Linked DNA regions of Drosophila melanogaster. The protein of the gene in region 1 interacts with the protein of each later gene in a pairwise test. Each region holds a gene or a part of one and is shown on either strand. Other genes may lie near its edges.

Region 1 (3,432 bases):
CTGTTCGTCCTGATGATTGGCCAACTGGCTTTGGTGATCTACATGTGGGTGCAGAAGGACAAGTACCTGGAGATCATGGGCGACGTGGTCGAGAAGGCCTGGAACCATCGCACCAGTCGTTCCGACTACATGGACGCGATTCAGATCAGCGTAAGTATTTAGGGACTTCCAAGGACATGTGACCCGCCTTCAACTGACTTTCTGCCGCTCCCGCAGATGAAATGCTGCGGACGCAGTGGCTACACCGACTACGCCTACCAGGGCAAGTTCCCTCCCTCCTGCTGCAGCGACACCAACAACTGCCGCTGGGAGACCGTCTACCGGCGGGGATGCAAGGTCACCTTCGTTGAGTTCTGGGACAGGAACAGCGACATCATCAAGTATGCCGGTCTGGTCATCGCCGCCATCGAAGTAAGTTATTGTCCAGAGTAACGCAATCGAACGAAATCGATCATCGAATCTAGGTGCTTCCCCATGTGAATTTCGAAAATATGATGGATGGGTTCATGTTACCTACCTTCCATTGTGATTTCTTGGGGATAACCAAAAAGTACTAAGTAATGTAAATCATAATTCGTAGCAATGCAGTTTAGTTTGTTATTTTACCATAAGCGTTATGAGATTTACACCTACATGTATATTCTTCCAATATACCATACTCTGTTTGCTTTCAGTTTGTGGGATTCGTTTTCGCCTGTTGCTTGGCGAACAGCATTCGGAACTATAGACGCCGTGCGGAATATTAATCGACAAAGGACTAAGGCCTTGCACTAATTTTAATTGAAACCGAAAGTACGAATTATGTTGCCCAATTTTACGAATATTTACCTGATACAGATGGCCATTCAAATTTGCATAATCTCAAGCGTAAGCAGCAAATGCAGCAAATCCAATGACGAATGCGTAACGATCACTTTTGTAAGATCGTTTGTTCAAAGTTACACTGAATGTGCTAATATGTTTAACTGTACAAAATAACTTATACTCCTGGAGATTGCAATAAACGGAGAAATTTATTTACAATTTACGAAAAGAGTTCAGTCTTTGTCTTAATGGGAAAGCTTACATTGTTTGCAATTCGACTTAATCCCTAAAGCACCTATTTTTCTAAATTGCCACGGGAGGATTTCGGCCATTCGCGATAACGTTTTAATCTGCAAAGTAATAAGTATAAATAGAGTTGGCCGAAACCAACAAGTACACTTTGATTACAGATCATTATCAATCATTGGCTCTATTGACATATTTCCGTAGAACTAACCTATCAGAAGACTATATTTAGTTAGTTAGCTTTTTAGGGCTCAGACGAAATCTTATCTCCATTGAGCTATTTTATCTATGAAGGGCACATAGCCGTTTTGTGAATGTCAATGGGAAATTATTCCGCCGTGGAAACCCCAATAGTTGCCAAAATCTTGTTGAAGTTAGGCTGGGAGTGCACTCGCTAAAAGGTTTATTGCTCGATTGATAGTACATAAATCTAGGCGATAAGATCGGGGACTCACGGGGAAACGGACTCCAAGCAACGTAATATGTGAGTCAGCGTGCACCGCGTACTCTTGACTGGTGATAAGGCAAGGTGTGGAGGGTGTGAATGATTCATCTTATGAACGATCTAACGCCCCCAAGATGGAATCGCACGAGGGCTAGATAAAATTCCGCCACCAGCAGTTTGCACCTACCATTCGTTGAATGAATCATTGCGCCAAGGATGTAATTTCCCAGGTTCGGACCACCACAATGATCTGGTATCTCGTGGGTGCAAAGCGATTCACCAAGTACAAGTACATGGGCATCGGAGCTTCCAGCACAAGTACATACGGAATTTTATGGCCGAGATAAGAGCGCAGCCGATAAGATGAGGACTCCGAGTAAGCTTTAATAGCCGCGTTCTGTCCGAGGGCCCATTCAGTTAGACGAACATCGTCACATCGAACGAACGGATTATCCAGCTAGCCAACGAGAAACCCGAACAGAACCCAGCACCATGAACTGTCTATCCGCGATGTTCAAGTACCTGCTGTACTTGCTCAACCTGGTGTTCGTGGCCGGTGGCATCCTGCTCATTGTGGTGGGCTCCATCATGCTCTCCACGATGGGCAACTTTACGGCCTTCGACGGAGGCGTTAACACCCAGACCATCCCGATCTGCATTATCGTCATCGGAAGTGTCACCTTCGTAGTGGCCTTCTTCGGATGCTGCGGCACCATTCGCGAGAACGCCTGCTGCACCACCATCGTAAGCACTCGGAAATCACCCACTGACCGAAATTGGATTCTAAATGACTTGGCATTCCTTTCAGTACGCCATCTGCATGCTGATTCTGTTCGGCCTGCAACTGGCCCTCTCCATCTGGATCTTCGCGGCCAACGACAAGTTCCTGTCCAGCATGGGCAAGGCAGTGGACAAGGCGTGGGATGAGAACAATGCCGCCCAGGGATACCCCATGGATGCCCTCCAGTTGGCCGTAAGTTTATCGAAATTCACCATCAGATGTCATTAGTTTTTTCCGGATATTTACGTATCTATTCCATTGCAGTTCTCTTGCTGTGGCAACACGGGATACCAACAGTATGAAACCGTGCCCAGCTCCTGCTGCGGCTACAAGGATCGCACCAAGGTGTGCGAAGCGGAGATCTACAGCCAGCGACCTGGCTGCCGGCAGGAGTTCGTCGATTTCTGGGCCTCCAATACGGACCTGATTCGATGGAGCAGTCTGATCATCGCCCTCTTCGAGCTGGGCATCTTCATCATGTCGTGCTGCCTGGCCAGCGCGATGAGGAAGCGCTAGAGCCGAAGTCAGATACAATCCTTAGACGTAGCCCAGTTCATAGCATAAATCCAACACACGAATTCCTCACTCACTCACTCACCGTAAATAAACCAGAATAGGTTAAGCCCAATGAAATATTATTGCTTATTCGCTGTCTACCTCTGGCTGCCGTCTATCTAATCAAGACAGGTTGATGTTTTTCCAAAAAGTATGTCCTTATCGGCCTGTTAGCCGAGTGCCGCGTTTCCGAGATCGAATGCCCTCAGTAGTGGTGAATCACCTCCATATGGCAATGGCTATCGATCTCCGCCCGCCGCCCAGTGCCCATTATCTATTTTTCGTTTCGGCCATGATTATGATAACAGGCACTTGCGTATCTTTCCTCCGATAGCGCCCGTGTCTGTTGGCCAATTTAAAAACAGTAGCCCATCTGGAGGAGCAGTCCAATCGAACGACAGTAAACGACGCGAGTGCGCGATAAAATCAGAGACACCGACAACTCCTTTGGATAAAACAATAGTGTTTATTTAATTCTACTAAATACAGGAGCAAACTATATACTTTCAAAATGGGTTGTCTATCGGGAATAGTCAACTTTATTTTATATATTGTCAATATCGTGTTTTTGGTAAGTGCTTGTCGGTTGAGTATCTAAGTA
Region 2 (3,130 bases), on another chromosome or scaffold:
CAGCGGTCGCATGGGTGTTTACAATTGGGCGACGGTGTACGCAGGGGCGGTGTACCGCAGAGGCGTGGCATAGGCAGCGGTACGCAGAACGGGAGCGGGAGCAGCCACCGCCAGAGGGGCGGAGCGGACGAACGGAGCGGCAACTGCTAGGGGAGCGGACTTGATCAGAGGAGCAGCGACGGCCACTGGAGCGGAGCGCACAATGGGAGCTGGTGCGGCCAAGGCGACAGGGGCGATGGGGGCGACTGGAGCGGCCTTGACCAATGGGGCAGCAACCTTCAGCAACGGCTCGGCGGCCACAACAGCGGCAAGGGGTTCACGGCGGACGACGGCGTTGAATCCGTTAATGGAATCGGCGGTATAGGTCACGGTGCGCTTAAAGCCATCGGCGTCGATCAGGGAGTACTCGCCGCGGACCACGTCACCATCGCGCTCCTCCACATGCCCCTTGTTGTCGCCGGAAAGCGTGTCCTGCACGTCGTAGCTGTAGGTGTACTGAGGATGCGGATCAACCTCCTCCAACTCAACGGTCTTGGCCAAAACTGGCACCGGAGCAGAAGCCACTGCCACTGGAGCAGCAGTTCTAAGGACGGCGCCATGGGCCACGGCGAACAGAGCCAAAGCGATAACAATCTGCGGAATAAATTACACTCTTTTTAGGATTTTTTTTTCCAAGATAAAAAGGCGAAGGCAGTCTGGTAATCCACTAGTAGTCCCCCGGAACGTTTATCCTCCAATTGGTAGCACAAACCTTTGCTGCCATTGTAGTTGGATGAATTTGATTAACTGCTGTCTTGAGCCGAAGCCAAACACTGAATGTCTGACCCATTGTGGGCCGTTTATTTTATACGCTACTTGGTGACATTGATGACACCTAATTGGAATTCATTTTTGGCGCATCACCTCGAGCGGCGCCGGTGGCATGTAAAAATTGTCACGCACCTTCTTCAGTTCTGCCAATTTCGATCGGTCGAAATAACCAGCTGCACTTAATTGATTACGCCAAGCCAATTTTAATTACTATTTTCCTTAAACTTGGAGTCTTCTTATTCAATTTTGTTGTTTTTCTTTTGGAAAGTACAACAAAGTAAGTGTGTATAATTGAACCCATTTTTTATAAAAAGGGAATAAAAGTTCTGATCTTATTTGTTTAAATATTTGCTAGTCAAATTATTAAATACGTTTTGAGTTTGTATCCATAGGTTTGTCTTGGTGAGGTATAATGAATATTTTATGTTGGGATCATAATTTGATTATTATGTATTTAAAACACATTTCCTACAAAGTTGTATAATTTTATTAACCTACATAAAATATTACAAATATGTTACAAAAAAAAGTTTTAAGCATGTTAAAAAGCTGTTCGCCTGTGAACTATCTTCAAATTTTGGAAACCAAAGGTGGGTGATAAAAAATAATAATTTTAATTTAATAAAGCTACGATAATTTAGATGTTTTGAGTTAATATCTTTTTAAGCGACCTTTTTGCCACAATATTAACTGTCTTGTAAGCTAACTGGATTTAGTAAGCAGTGATGTCACAGCGCACGCTCTCCGTTTCTCTCGGATAAATTGAAGTTATTTGATGACAAAACACAGAGATACAAAGATTGAGCACGCCTTCAAGCTTCACTTTTCCCTCTCCACACACGTTTAGCATAAATGAATTGCACTAATTACGCCAAGAGCGTGGCCCGCCGGCAAAAGCGAGTTCGGCCATTCAATGGTAGCAGCAGCTGAAGAAATAGCTCCATCTCGGTATATAAGCCAAGTGTTGGCCCAGTAGCCCTCACAGTTCATTTTGCCTTCCAACAACCAACAGCAGCAGCAGCAGCAGCCAAATCAATCCAAATCAAAATGGCATTCAAGGTTCGCCCCGAGGACTTAGCCCCGCCAAAGACCCACATCCTAACTGCTTTCCCTCTTTCAGTTCATCGCCCTCTTCGCCCTGATCGCCGCCGCCAGCGCCGGTGTTCTGCCCGTCCAGCAGGTGTACCACGCCGCCCCCGCCGTGGCCACCTACGCCCAAGCACCTGTCGCCGTTGCTCACGCCCAGCCGGTTCTTGCCAAGGCCGCCGAGGAGTACGATCCCCATCCCCAGTACAAGTACGCCTACGATGTTCAGGACTCCCTCTCCGGAGACTCCAAGAGCCAGGTGGAGGAGCGCGATGGCGACGTGGTCCGCGGAGAGTACTCCCTGATCGACGCCGATGGCTACAAGAGAACCGTCCAGTACACCGCCGATCCCATCAACGGATTCAACGCCGTTGTCAACCGTGAGCCCCTGGTCAAGGCCGTCGCCGTTGCCCCCGTTGTGAAGACCGTCGCCGCTCCCGTTGCCCACTACGCCGCCCCTGCTGTCGCCCATTACGCTGCTCCCGCTGTGGTCAAGACCGTGGCTCCGGTTGCCCACTACGCTGCTCCCGCCGTGGTCAAGACCGTGGCTCCAGTTGCCCACTACGCCGCTCCTGCTACCTACACCTCCTACGCCGCCCCCGCTGTTGCCTACCACCACTAAGAACTGTCATTTTACGTTTCTCAACCCATTACTGTTATAGTTTTACAATTGCCTCCTACAAATACACACAAATATTAAAAAAAATTTTTTTTTTTATTTTCATCTATTGATCATCTATTTTCATCAACGGCAGCTGAAACAATTTCGGATTTGTTTTATCCGGATAAAATTGAGTCAAGGAGATAGCGTCTTCATTAATGACATTCTAATGTGTTTCAATTAGATGTGTTAGCCATATTTAATACCTATAAAAAATACTGCAAAATCTTTACAAAAATAAAAAAAAAATCTCAAATATTTTGTTTAAATAATATGTGCAATTTTAAAACCATCAGCTTATATTTTTGATTGCATTAGATATTTTTATATTGATAGGGTATTGATGAAGTTATGATTAAAACTAACAGAGTCAACATAAAAAAGTTAATTCTTGAGAGTTATAGATATAACAATATTATTTTAAATATTTTTTTAAAAATGTATGATATGTTTATACCCTGCGCGTCTATCTAATCAAACTAAGCTTAATAAAATATGCAGTTGATAATAGACTATCAGATACGCTTTAGATATCATCAGCAAGTTTTATAAGTTCGATATCTCGTAGTTCAT
Region 3 (3,602 bases), about 15 Mb from region 1:
GTAGAGGAATGCGGCCAGGCACTCGTTCTCGCAGTTGAGTCGCGTATAGATACGATAAAAGATCAGCTCCTTCTCGTTCTTGAACAGGCACTGCCGGCCATCGCGGGATATAGATCGAATGGCCGGAACCGCCTCGGCACGAACCATCTCAATTCGATAGTTGGTTTCGTAGCCAATGGCTGAGATGAGGCCCGCCTCCTTCACCTTGGGAACTTCGATGGGATTGTGAAAGTAAACCTGGAAATGGCGGGTATGATGGGTAAAGGCAGTATGTATATTAAAGGCTTACTTTAAAACCAGGTCCATTGGTCGAAGAGCAATAGTATTCGCCCATCTCAGCATCAAGTACGGCAGTAAATCCCAAGGTGATACCAGTGCCTATAGTACATATTTGAAATACTCTATTCATTAACGATTCTCTGATATTTTACCACTAGCGGTGGCTGGATAGAACTTGGGGGGCAATTGTTCCGGATATCCTGACTCCGGATCCCACATAACACTTTCAAACCCATCAGAGTTCGTCAAGTTCCGGTTGTTATTTGCACTGTCAAAACAATAAATCAATTATTTTAATTTAATGAACCCATCTAGTTACAATGGCTTGTAGAGATATTCCGGTGGTTGAAAATTGAAGACGCAACACAGGCCCTCATCCGTCAGGATCTGCTGAAACAGTTGCGAACAGTTTCGCTCCACGGCACTGAATCTACAAAAAAGCAACATTCTCTCGCAGGACTGCGAGTGATTTGAAACAAATTCGGATATCTTCAGGTTGTTCGTGACAAAATTCGAAGCGGAGAACTCCTCATCAGCCTCACTGGATTCCCAGCTATCCGATTCACATAATAGCTTCAGAAGGGCACTTTCATTGGAGCCCCTGGAACATAATTTAATTTCAAAATGATGGATGGACGATTGCCTTAGAGGAAAACCGAACTTACTCTCTGTAATTGGCTACCAGACTCCTCTGCACCTGGTTCATATTGCATATGGTTATTGCCGGAAAAGGAACCTTCAAAATGGAGGTGGCCTGTGGGCTGATGCCGATTATAACCGGCGTGCTATCCCACTTCACATAGATGTTCGATATGAGGTGCACCGTGATGATGAGGGCGGTGACAAAGGAGCCAAGGAAAAACGATCTAAAAAGGGTTTTGCAAATGTAGCTCAAAATCCGCACTTGGATGTGCTCCTTTCCCACCTCTCCCAGCTACTCAGGCCGGAATCGCCCACAAACTTGAGTCCATGCAGACTAGTCTGGTTGAGGAACTGCCGCAGACTCCTGACGAAGCTCTTCAGCAGAAATAACGAGGATCCCTGCCTTTCCGTTCCGGCTGACGGCGACGGTTCCATAGCGAACTGTTTACTTAATGACCCTTGACACCTGCATAAATACTTGATATCGCAAGCAATCAGGTGTCGGCACACTTATTAAAGAGGCATGTAATTAAGGTTTTACCCCGATTACGGCGGCATTCGAAGGAGTGAATCCTTTCAAGTTAATTAAATTCTCAATGCTGGCTTGCCGTTGGCGTTTAAATGTATATGTATGTATTCATGGCACACGCCATCAAGCATACGACGTGTGGCCCGTCTTGATAACATGTATAAGTGCATGGCCGCAGTTTTACACCACCCCGCGCTTGATATCAAACTTTAATTCGGTTAGCTTTGGAGTTTATCAAATTATATTGAACTCGGGTTCAATGAATCACATTCAATCATACTGAACGCAAACTTTTCGCCGCAAAAACATAGAAAGCGAGCTTTTTACCGGCGACCCATTAGCTTTGGCCTCGAAAGCTTGATAAAATAAAGCTCAACCGCACGTGATGTTACAGCAACCGGTTATCAAGTTAGTTCTCTTTCTGACATATCGGAGATCGGTGCCTATTTATTTACCTTAGTAGCACAGATCATGAGAATCCGGAGCAACCCAATGCCCAGCCGGATGGTGGACATCTTGTGCTTCCTCATCATTGCGGTCTTTCTCCCGGTGGTGTTTATGTTCGAGATTGTGGTGGTGCTGCCTGCCTTCCATGAACCGGGTGGCTTCTTCCACACCTTCACCTTTCTTATGGCCATGTTCCTGGTGTTTAACATCAAGGGAAACATGATTGCCTGCATGATGATTGACACAAGTGTAAATGGTAAGTCGCAGCAGGTCTTATAATAAATCCGATAAAATGCATATCCCATTTCCAGTGAAAAAGGTGGAACCACCATCGGATCAGTTGAATTGGCGTGAGTGCGGCGAGTGCCAGAAGCTAGCACCACCCAGATCTTGGCATTGCAAGGCCTGCAAAGTGTGCATTCTGAAGCGGGATCACCACTGTATCTACACCGGCTGCTGCATTGGACTCAGAAACCATCGCTTCTTCATGGGCTTTATATTCTATCTCTTCGTGGGATCAGTTTACGCACTGGTGTACAACTCCATATACATGTGGGTCATCCACGGCCACATCTACAGCAACTGGGTGACGGTGTTAAAACTCGCCTGCCCCATGTTACACCTGGTAACGGGCAGTTTTTGGACCAACATGTACCTGGTCTTCTACAGCTTAAATATTTTAGCTCTGGCTTATGGAGTCCTCCTCCTGGCCTACCATGTGCCCATTGTTTTAAGGGGCGGTGTTTCCGCCGATCGCACTAAGGAGAGCAAAGAAAAGTACGACAGAGGAGTGTATCAAAATCTAAGGAGCGTTTTTGGAAACCGCATGCATTTAGCGTGGCTGTCCCCACTGATTCGCAGCGATCTGCCGGAAGACGGATACCACTGGAATGTCCCTACGAACAAACAAGACTAAGACTGATTAGGATCTAGGATAAATATCTGCTGTGCAGTTCCTACCTGGGGATCCCGTAAATGACTACTGTGACTTTGGCAACCTCTGGCTGGTTAAATGTTAGTCTTAAGATAGTGAAGTTGTAACCAATACCGCCGGACAGAACGGACGCCTGGCCTTTCCATTCCATTTCACTTTCATCGATGACCAATATCATGTTTATATGAAAGCACATGCTACCCTGTACAAAAATACCTAAGAGATCTTCCACTTTATTTAAAGTAATATATTTAAAATACCTTTTGTGTGTACTTCACGTCTACGAAATCCACAAATTCAGTGGTGAATATTTCAGTCTCATATATGGGAACAGCTAGAAAGTGCAGCATGCCAAATTGTACGGAGTGGCATGCAACTTCTGCATAAGCAAGTATTGCCAGCAGCAACAGACCACACGTATTGGCCATTTCTAAAAACTAAACCCATCATTCTTTGTTACCACACCTGCGCGGCCAATTGTCCCCGTCTATAACTGATTTGATGACTAGACAAGCAAACATAGATTGATAACAAAAATAATATTTTTTATTGATCTATCAAAGCTTTCTTTGATGGACCCGCCTCCACTCTCCGTATAACCGACTTGCACTCCTCGTTGCGGAAGACCCGATGGTAGGAGGTTATCTTGCCCAGAGACGAAACGAAATTCTCGTCGTGAGTGATGATGATGAGCATAAAGTTGGACTGGCTTTGGCGCTCCTCCACGATGCAATTCAGGGCTTCACATAGCGAGTTTATATTGGCGCGATC
Region 4 (5,258 bases), 1.0 Mb from region 1:
TCTCCCATAGACCGAACTTAATTTCTTGGAATTTTTTTTTAGAAACCCTAAGCTATCTGACGTGTAAAACTAAAAAGAATTCGGTAAATTTTTCGCTGCAACGAATTGTTCCCATTTAGCTAAGGATAATTCAGCCGCTATGACGGCGAACTGGTAGTCCTCGCAGTGACAAAGCGCACCTCAAGAATGTTCGTTAAAATTAATATTTTCTCTGATAATCCAATAATAGCACTAATCAAAGTATGCGTCATTGATATACCTCAAATTTTTGAATGTGGATCGTCACTACTTGTTTAAACTTTTTTGATTGTTTTTAATAATTATACCCGTTACTCGTGGATTATATATATTCTTATATATTATATATTATATATATATTTTTGATCGGAATCAATACCTGATTCAATCTGGCCATGTCCGTCTGTCCGTCTGTATGAACGTCGAGATTTCACGAAATATAACAACTAGAAAGGCTTTCCTGATCCGAATATCAATTATCAAGCGAGTTTCAACATATTCACTTATACACTCATGCGTTTATTTACAATAGATTCACAAAGTGTTCAAAGTTATAGTTATCATAGGGTATAACTTAAGCTTAAAGGCTTACGGGACTAGCTAATCTCACTGCGTTGTTTCTCCATTTTTTTCTCTCTGTGTAGGATGCGAAACTTAAGACTATCACACTTGGTCTGCTCTGACTAGAGGTTGAAATATCCCTTCTGAGGCTTATGCCCACAATCAATAGGCCATCTCGGCGCCCCAAGGACGATAGGGCTTTGCTCCGTTGGGAGTGGCGTACTGCAGCACACTGGAGTTGTTGTAGTCCTGGCCTGGCAGTCCGCTGACCGGATACTGAGGAGCAGCACTATAGCTAAGGCTATCGGAACCTATGGCCGCTGGACGATTGCTGTTGGTCAGCTCTATGTAGGTGGGAACCTGCTGCTCGGAATGCACTGCGCTGTGGTCGTGGGTATAGTGTTGCTGCTGCGTCGGCTGAGGTGTTGTCTGCGTCCGTTGCTGTTGCTGCTGATGCTGCTGCTGTTGGTGTTGCTGCTGCTGCTGCTGTTGCTGCTGCTGTTGCTGCTGCTGTTGGCTGCTGCTGTCAGAGTGGAGATCATGGCTGGGCAGCGATTCAGTTACGGCACTTCCACTTGTCCGCGAGACACTGGTGCGTCCTCCCAGTTGCTGAGCCTGCTGAGAGGGCGAGGCACTTAGTGTGGGGTAGCTGGACACATAGGCACCCGGGTTGGCTGGCGCCGCATAGCTCTGGTAGGGAGCAGCCGCACAGTTTGGCTGATAGCCGGAGGAGCTGGGAGCAGCCGGAGACCAGCCACCCGGACTGGCGCAGCTCTTGGCCGACAGTTCGCGCTGCTGCACAAAGTACTGGAGGTGGGACATAAGGCGCAGGCGCAGAGGATCCTGAATGTCCATGCCCTCGATGGTGACCAAATAGCGGGCCACCTCTGCGGCGCACTCGCGGAACCCAATGATATGGTAGTCCATGGCCACTCGCTGCGGATCATAGCTAAGCGAGTCGAGAGCTGCAACAAGATACGAGGAGGTGGAGAAAGTCAATAAGCTGTCTAATCCCAGTTCAGGCAAACAATTAAAATAGCTGTTCCCACGCGACGAGCATAAAGAACAACCCCCATGTCCTTCGGCGGGATGGCTTGTTGTGAGGTGGCTATCGGGGGGTGAAAGCCCGCGCCTGGCTACAAGGTTGCCATCGTGGTGGTGCCGCTACTGAGCGTGGGAAGCCCCGAGATTCGAGATTCACTTGAGCGCTAGGCTGGCGCTGGTGGTGGTGGTCCTGCTTTGCCTACGGCAATCATAATTTTCCCACAATTCGACCCTGTTCGGGACAACAGGTCAGGATTGTTTACCCAGATTTGTGATAATTTGCCGCATATTGTATTTAATATCGTTACTCAATTGTTTCCCACAGCGGCTTGCGTTTAGGGATTCTGCTTGCAGTTTTTCCCATTCCAATTTTTTATAATGTATTGAAGTTCATATGTATGTCAGATATGCCTTGATTAATTAGTGCGCTAAATGGGCCCTAATGTAATATTAACTGTCGAAATAAGAAATTACTTTCTTTACACTTTACTTCTTTTAGTTAACCAACTTAGTTGGCTGCCCAAGTTAACCCTCTATTTGCTCCTATTGTGATTAATGACCCATAGAAGCGTTTAACTTCAGTGAGGAGGTCTGTGGTGCAGCTAGCCTATTTGCTTTTTAAAACCTCTTTAAGCTAGCTCAAGTGGGCTTGGTAAACTTACTTTTAGACTGCAGACTCTTGAGATGCTCCACGGTCAGCTGAAGGATTTCGGCCTTCTCCAGCTTGGCGGATCCCTGCTTCTCGTAGGCGGAGGGCACCAGGCGCTTGAGTTCGGTGAGCGAGGAGTTGATCCGATCCCGCCGCTTCTTCTCGATCACTCCGCGTCGCTTCTTGCGGCTCATCAGTTGGCAGCTGCCCGGCTCACTGGGCGAGATTCTAATGGAACAGAGGAAAGGGTTTCTATTAGCTATGGATTGAAGTTAATGATAGATTCTTAATCTTAATATCTTAATCTTTCATAGACTGAAAAACACTCTATGGTGTTACTAAAAAAACCTCTAAGTTACAGAACATTTTAAAATCTATCTTTTCTTAAAACCCTATAGTTTAGTGATTTATATTTTGATGGTTTATCAGCAACTTTGCGTTAAGTGGAGTTATCCATGACTTCGATTCACTAAGTAAATATCATGACGCACTATTTTTTTTAGCAACATAAAACGTTTGCACATCGCATGGTATTTTCAAAGGTTTCATTTTACAAGACAACTCCTAACTTGGGAACTGCGAATAGCTTTTTGTGCACTAAATTGAAAAACAAATTTTGATAAGAAGTCACGAGTACGCACTGTTCCTTGGAGGACTCCTCGGAGTAGAGATCGTCGCAGTCGCTCTCGGAAAGCGTCCGCTTCAGGCTGCCGATGCCGTGGCTATGGCCCTGGCTATGCCCGTGGCTGTGGTTGCTGTGGGCGCTGTGGTGGCTCTGCGGCGGCGGCACCCAGTGGCTCTGGGGTGTGGTGGCGGTGGCGCCGGGCATGACCACGCCGGGTCCGGCGGCGTAGCCCCAGTGATGCAGCGATGGCGCATTGACGTGCATGTTGTGATCCATTGTGTGTGGTGACCAGTGTTTACTCGCTGCTCCTGCGCACTTGACACTACTGTGTTGATGTTGCTGTTGCTGAGCTGTAGCTTTGCGTGCTGCTAGTTGCAGAGGCAGATGCAGTTGGCGGCTAGACCGGGCTGGCGGAGCTAGTTTGAGCACGTGACTTATCGTGTGCGCGAACGGCGTTCGACTGATTCTGTAGCACACGTCGAGCGGACGACCTGCCCTCCGCTGCCGCCGCTCAACCCCTTTTTACCGCCTGCGGCAGCCGTCCAATAAGATGCAGCAGCAACCACCCCCTGGCAACGCGCAGCGCGTGCTTGCCGAGATTGGGGTAGGAAACGGGAAGCAAACATATTCGCCGCGCGGCGATCGCCGCCAAGTGAGCAAGTGAGAGTGTGCGACAAGGAGCGACCAGCGCCGGCAAATGAGCAAGCCTCTGTCATCGATTCATCCGATTGTATCGCCCGACCATCTGATATAGCCTTTCAGCAGCCTCTAAAGCATCTAAAGCATCTAAAGCATCTGCAGCACGGCCTTTAATCGGCGCCGTGGGCGACAAACTGGCGGCGTCCGCCGTCCACTTGTTTGCCGCTGGAGCGGCTGCACCCGTCCATGGAACTCAAACTGGAGCACGCGCCGGTCGTGTGGCATCGCGTGGCGCCGGGTAAAGCCCCAACAAGTGCAACAGCCGCCGTTGACCTCTATCTGTGCAGTGGGACGCGTGCTGGTGGGTGGCCCACACAGTTCTAGGTCAGTGCCGGCTCAAGGTTGCGGCATCCCGGGTCCGGAATGGGAACGGGAACATCCACAGGTGCAGAAGCAGGAGCAGGAGACGAGATAACAACGACTGCGGCAGCAGGTGACCGAAGTTGACCTAGAAATTGCCCGAGGTAAAATCGACTTGTTTACCTAGAAATATGCTAATGCGGAAATAATTCACTTTAATGTTATCGAAAGCAGCGTTTCATCACAAAGGGATATAAGGAACTTGGATGGCGACGGTAAAACGTAAATATGTTGTACAATTTTACGAAAAAGCAGACGTGAGCTTTATCTTTTTCTTTATCTTTTTGATTTGCCATTATAAACTCTTAGATGCGCTTTGTCACTGCATTTCGAATATTCACATGATTTAATCCATTCTAAATTTTTTGCTGAATTGGCTAATCTTATAACTTCCTTAATTGTTCCTTGTAATTGTATGAACGCTGAGCTCTCGGGAACTATAAAAGCATGAATGTAAAACTAGTTACTAGGATTAAGAGCTAGATTGTTACAGAAGATTGCAACGCCTACTCTTAAGGACACAAACCGGCTAAAACTGCCACGTCCATACTTTTGCAAAATTGTCATATTTTTTAAAAATATTTTGGCCACTCCCAGTCTAATGGCCACAAGCTGTCAATCTAAAACTTTTGAAAAATGTTTTGATATTTTTGATTTCACTATTTTTTTTGACAGCTTTGATCGCTATTCCACCAAAATTTGTCAGTTTTTCTAATGATTTTACAAGCTGAGATAGTTAACATCGAAATTAACGTTCTGTCTGTTTTGGTTAATGTTTCCCCATTAACTTTAATGTAATATATTTTGACAGTATTGTGTTCATAAATTCAATATAACAAGCTGATCAATGTCAATATTACCTATAAATTTTATTATGATAAACTATTTCATCCAAAATTTCCCATTATTTCTTATATCAGCCGCACGGAATGTGTGTTTAAAGCTAGCAGTAGATTAAAAACAATTAAAATGCGAATGAAAAACAGTATACGGTGGAGCTGATATATTTACATATATATGTACGTTGTGGTTTGACATAACTTTCCCTAATAAAAACTATACTTGAATTATCGTTATGCAAAAATAATTCTTCTGTAGATATCTATGTTAAAATGTTCATTTCAACTCCTTTGTCCTGTCACCCTAAAGAATCCCAATATTGCTATATGAATCCCTATACTATTGTATATACTTTTATATCCCTTTACTATTATATGTTGCAATTTCGCATATAACTGGAAATATCATTAGTTATTCTCCCCCACAAAATGATTTAGTGTAGCATTTCTCCCATTTTCTCGA

The links.
Region 2: the proteins of Tsp42Eb (region 1) and Ccp84Ad interact in a two-hybrid assay, tested with the Drosophila melanogaster proteins (one large-scale study listed by BioGRID).
Region 3: the proteins of Tsp42Eb (region 1) and CG10344 interact in a two-hybrid assay, tested with the Drosophila melanogaster proteins (one large-scale study listed by BioGRID).
Region 4: the proteins of Tsp42Eb (region 1) and Hey interact in a two-hybrid assay, tested with the Drosophila melanogaster proteins (one large-scale study listed by BioGRID).

Annotation. Positions count from the first base shown.
Region 1 is NT_033778.4:6,996,943-7,000,374, forward strand, and holds Tsp42Eb (tetraspanin 42Eb), read left to right. Parts: upstream 1-1,905; 5' UTR 1,906-1,987; coding exon 1,988-2,239; intron 2,240-2,303; coding exon 2,304-2,468; intron 2,469-2,540; coding exon 2,541-2,792; 3' UTR 2,793-2,906; downstream 2,907-3,432.
Region 2 is NT_033777.3:6,690,941-6,694,070, forward strand, and holds Ccp84Ad (Ccp84Ad), read left to right. Parts: upstream 1-1,791; 5' UTR 1,792-1,857; coding exon 1,858-1,869; intron 1,870-1,930; coding exon 1,931-2,518; 3' UTR 2,519-2,587; downstream 2,588-3,130. Other genes in the region: Ccp84Ae, read right to left, coding at 19-633, 752-763.
Region 3 is NT_033778.4:22,425,233-22,428,834, reverse strand, and holds CG10344 (uncharacterized protein), read left to right. Parts: upstream 1-1,857; 5' UTR 1,858-1,921; coding exon 1,922-2,153; intron 2,154-2,208; coding exon 2,209-2,813; 3' UTR 2,814-2,853; coding exon of another isoform or gene 2,854-3,033; 3' UTR 3,034-3,091; downstream 3,092-3,602. Other genes in the region: ppk12 (pickpocket 12), read right to left, coding at 1-237, 290-378, 432-547, 599-880, 945-1,145, 1,205-1,356; CG46442 (uncharacterized protein), read right to left, coding at 2,854-3,033, 3,092-3,259; rad50, read right to left, coding at 3,378-3,602.
Region 4 is NT_033778.4:7,994,920-8,000,177, forward strand, and holds Hey (Hairy/E(spl)-related with YRPW motif), read right to left. Parts: upstream 3,360-5,258; 5' UTR 3,174-3,359; coding exon 2,914-3,173; intron 2,501-2,913; coding exon 2,286-2,500; intron 1,545-2,285; coding exon 742-1,544; 3' UTR 519-741; downstream 1-518. Other genes in the region: Dic3 (dicarboxylate carrier 3), read right to left, coding at 1-8. UniProt on the Drosophila melanogaster protein: Transcriptional repressor which acts as a downstream effector of Notch signaling.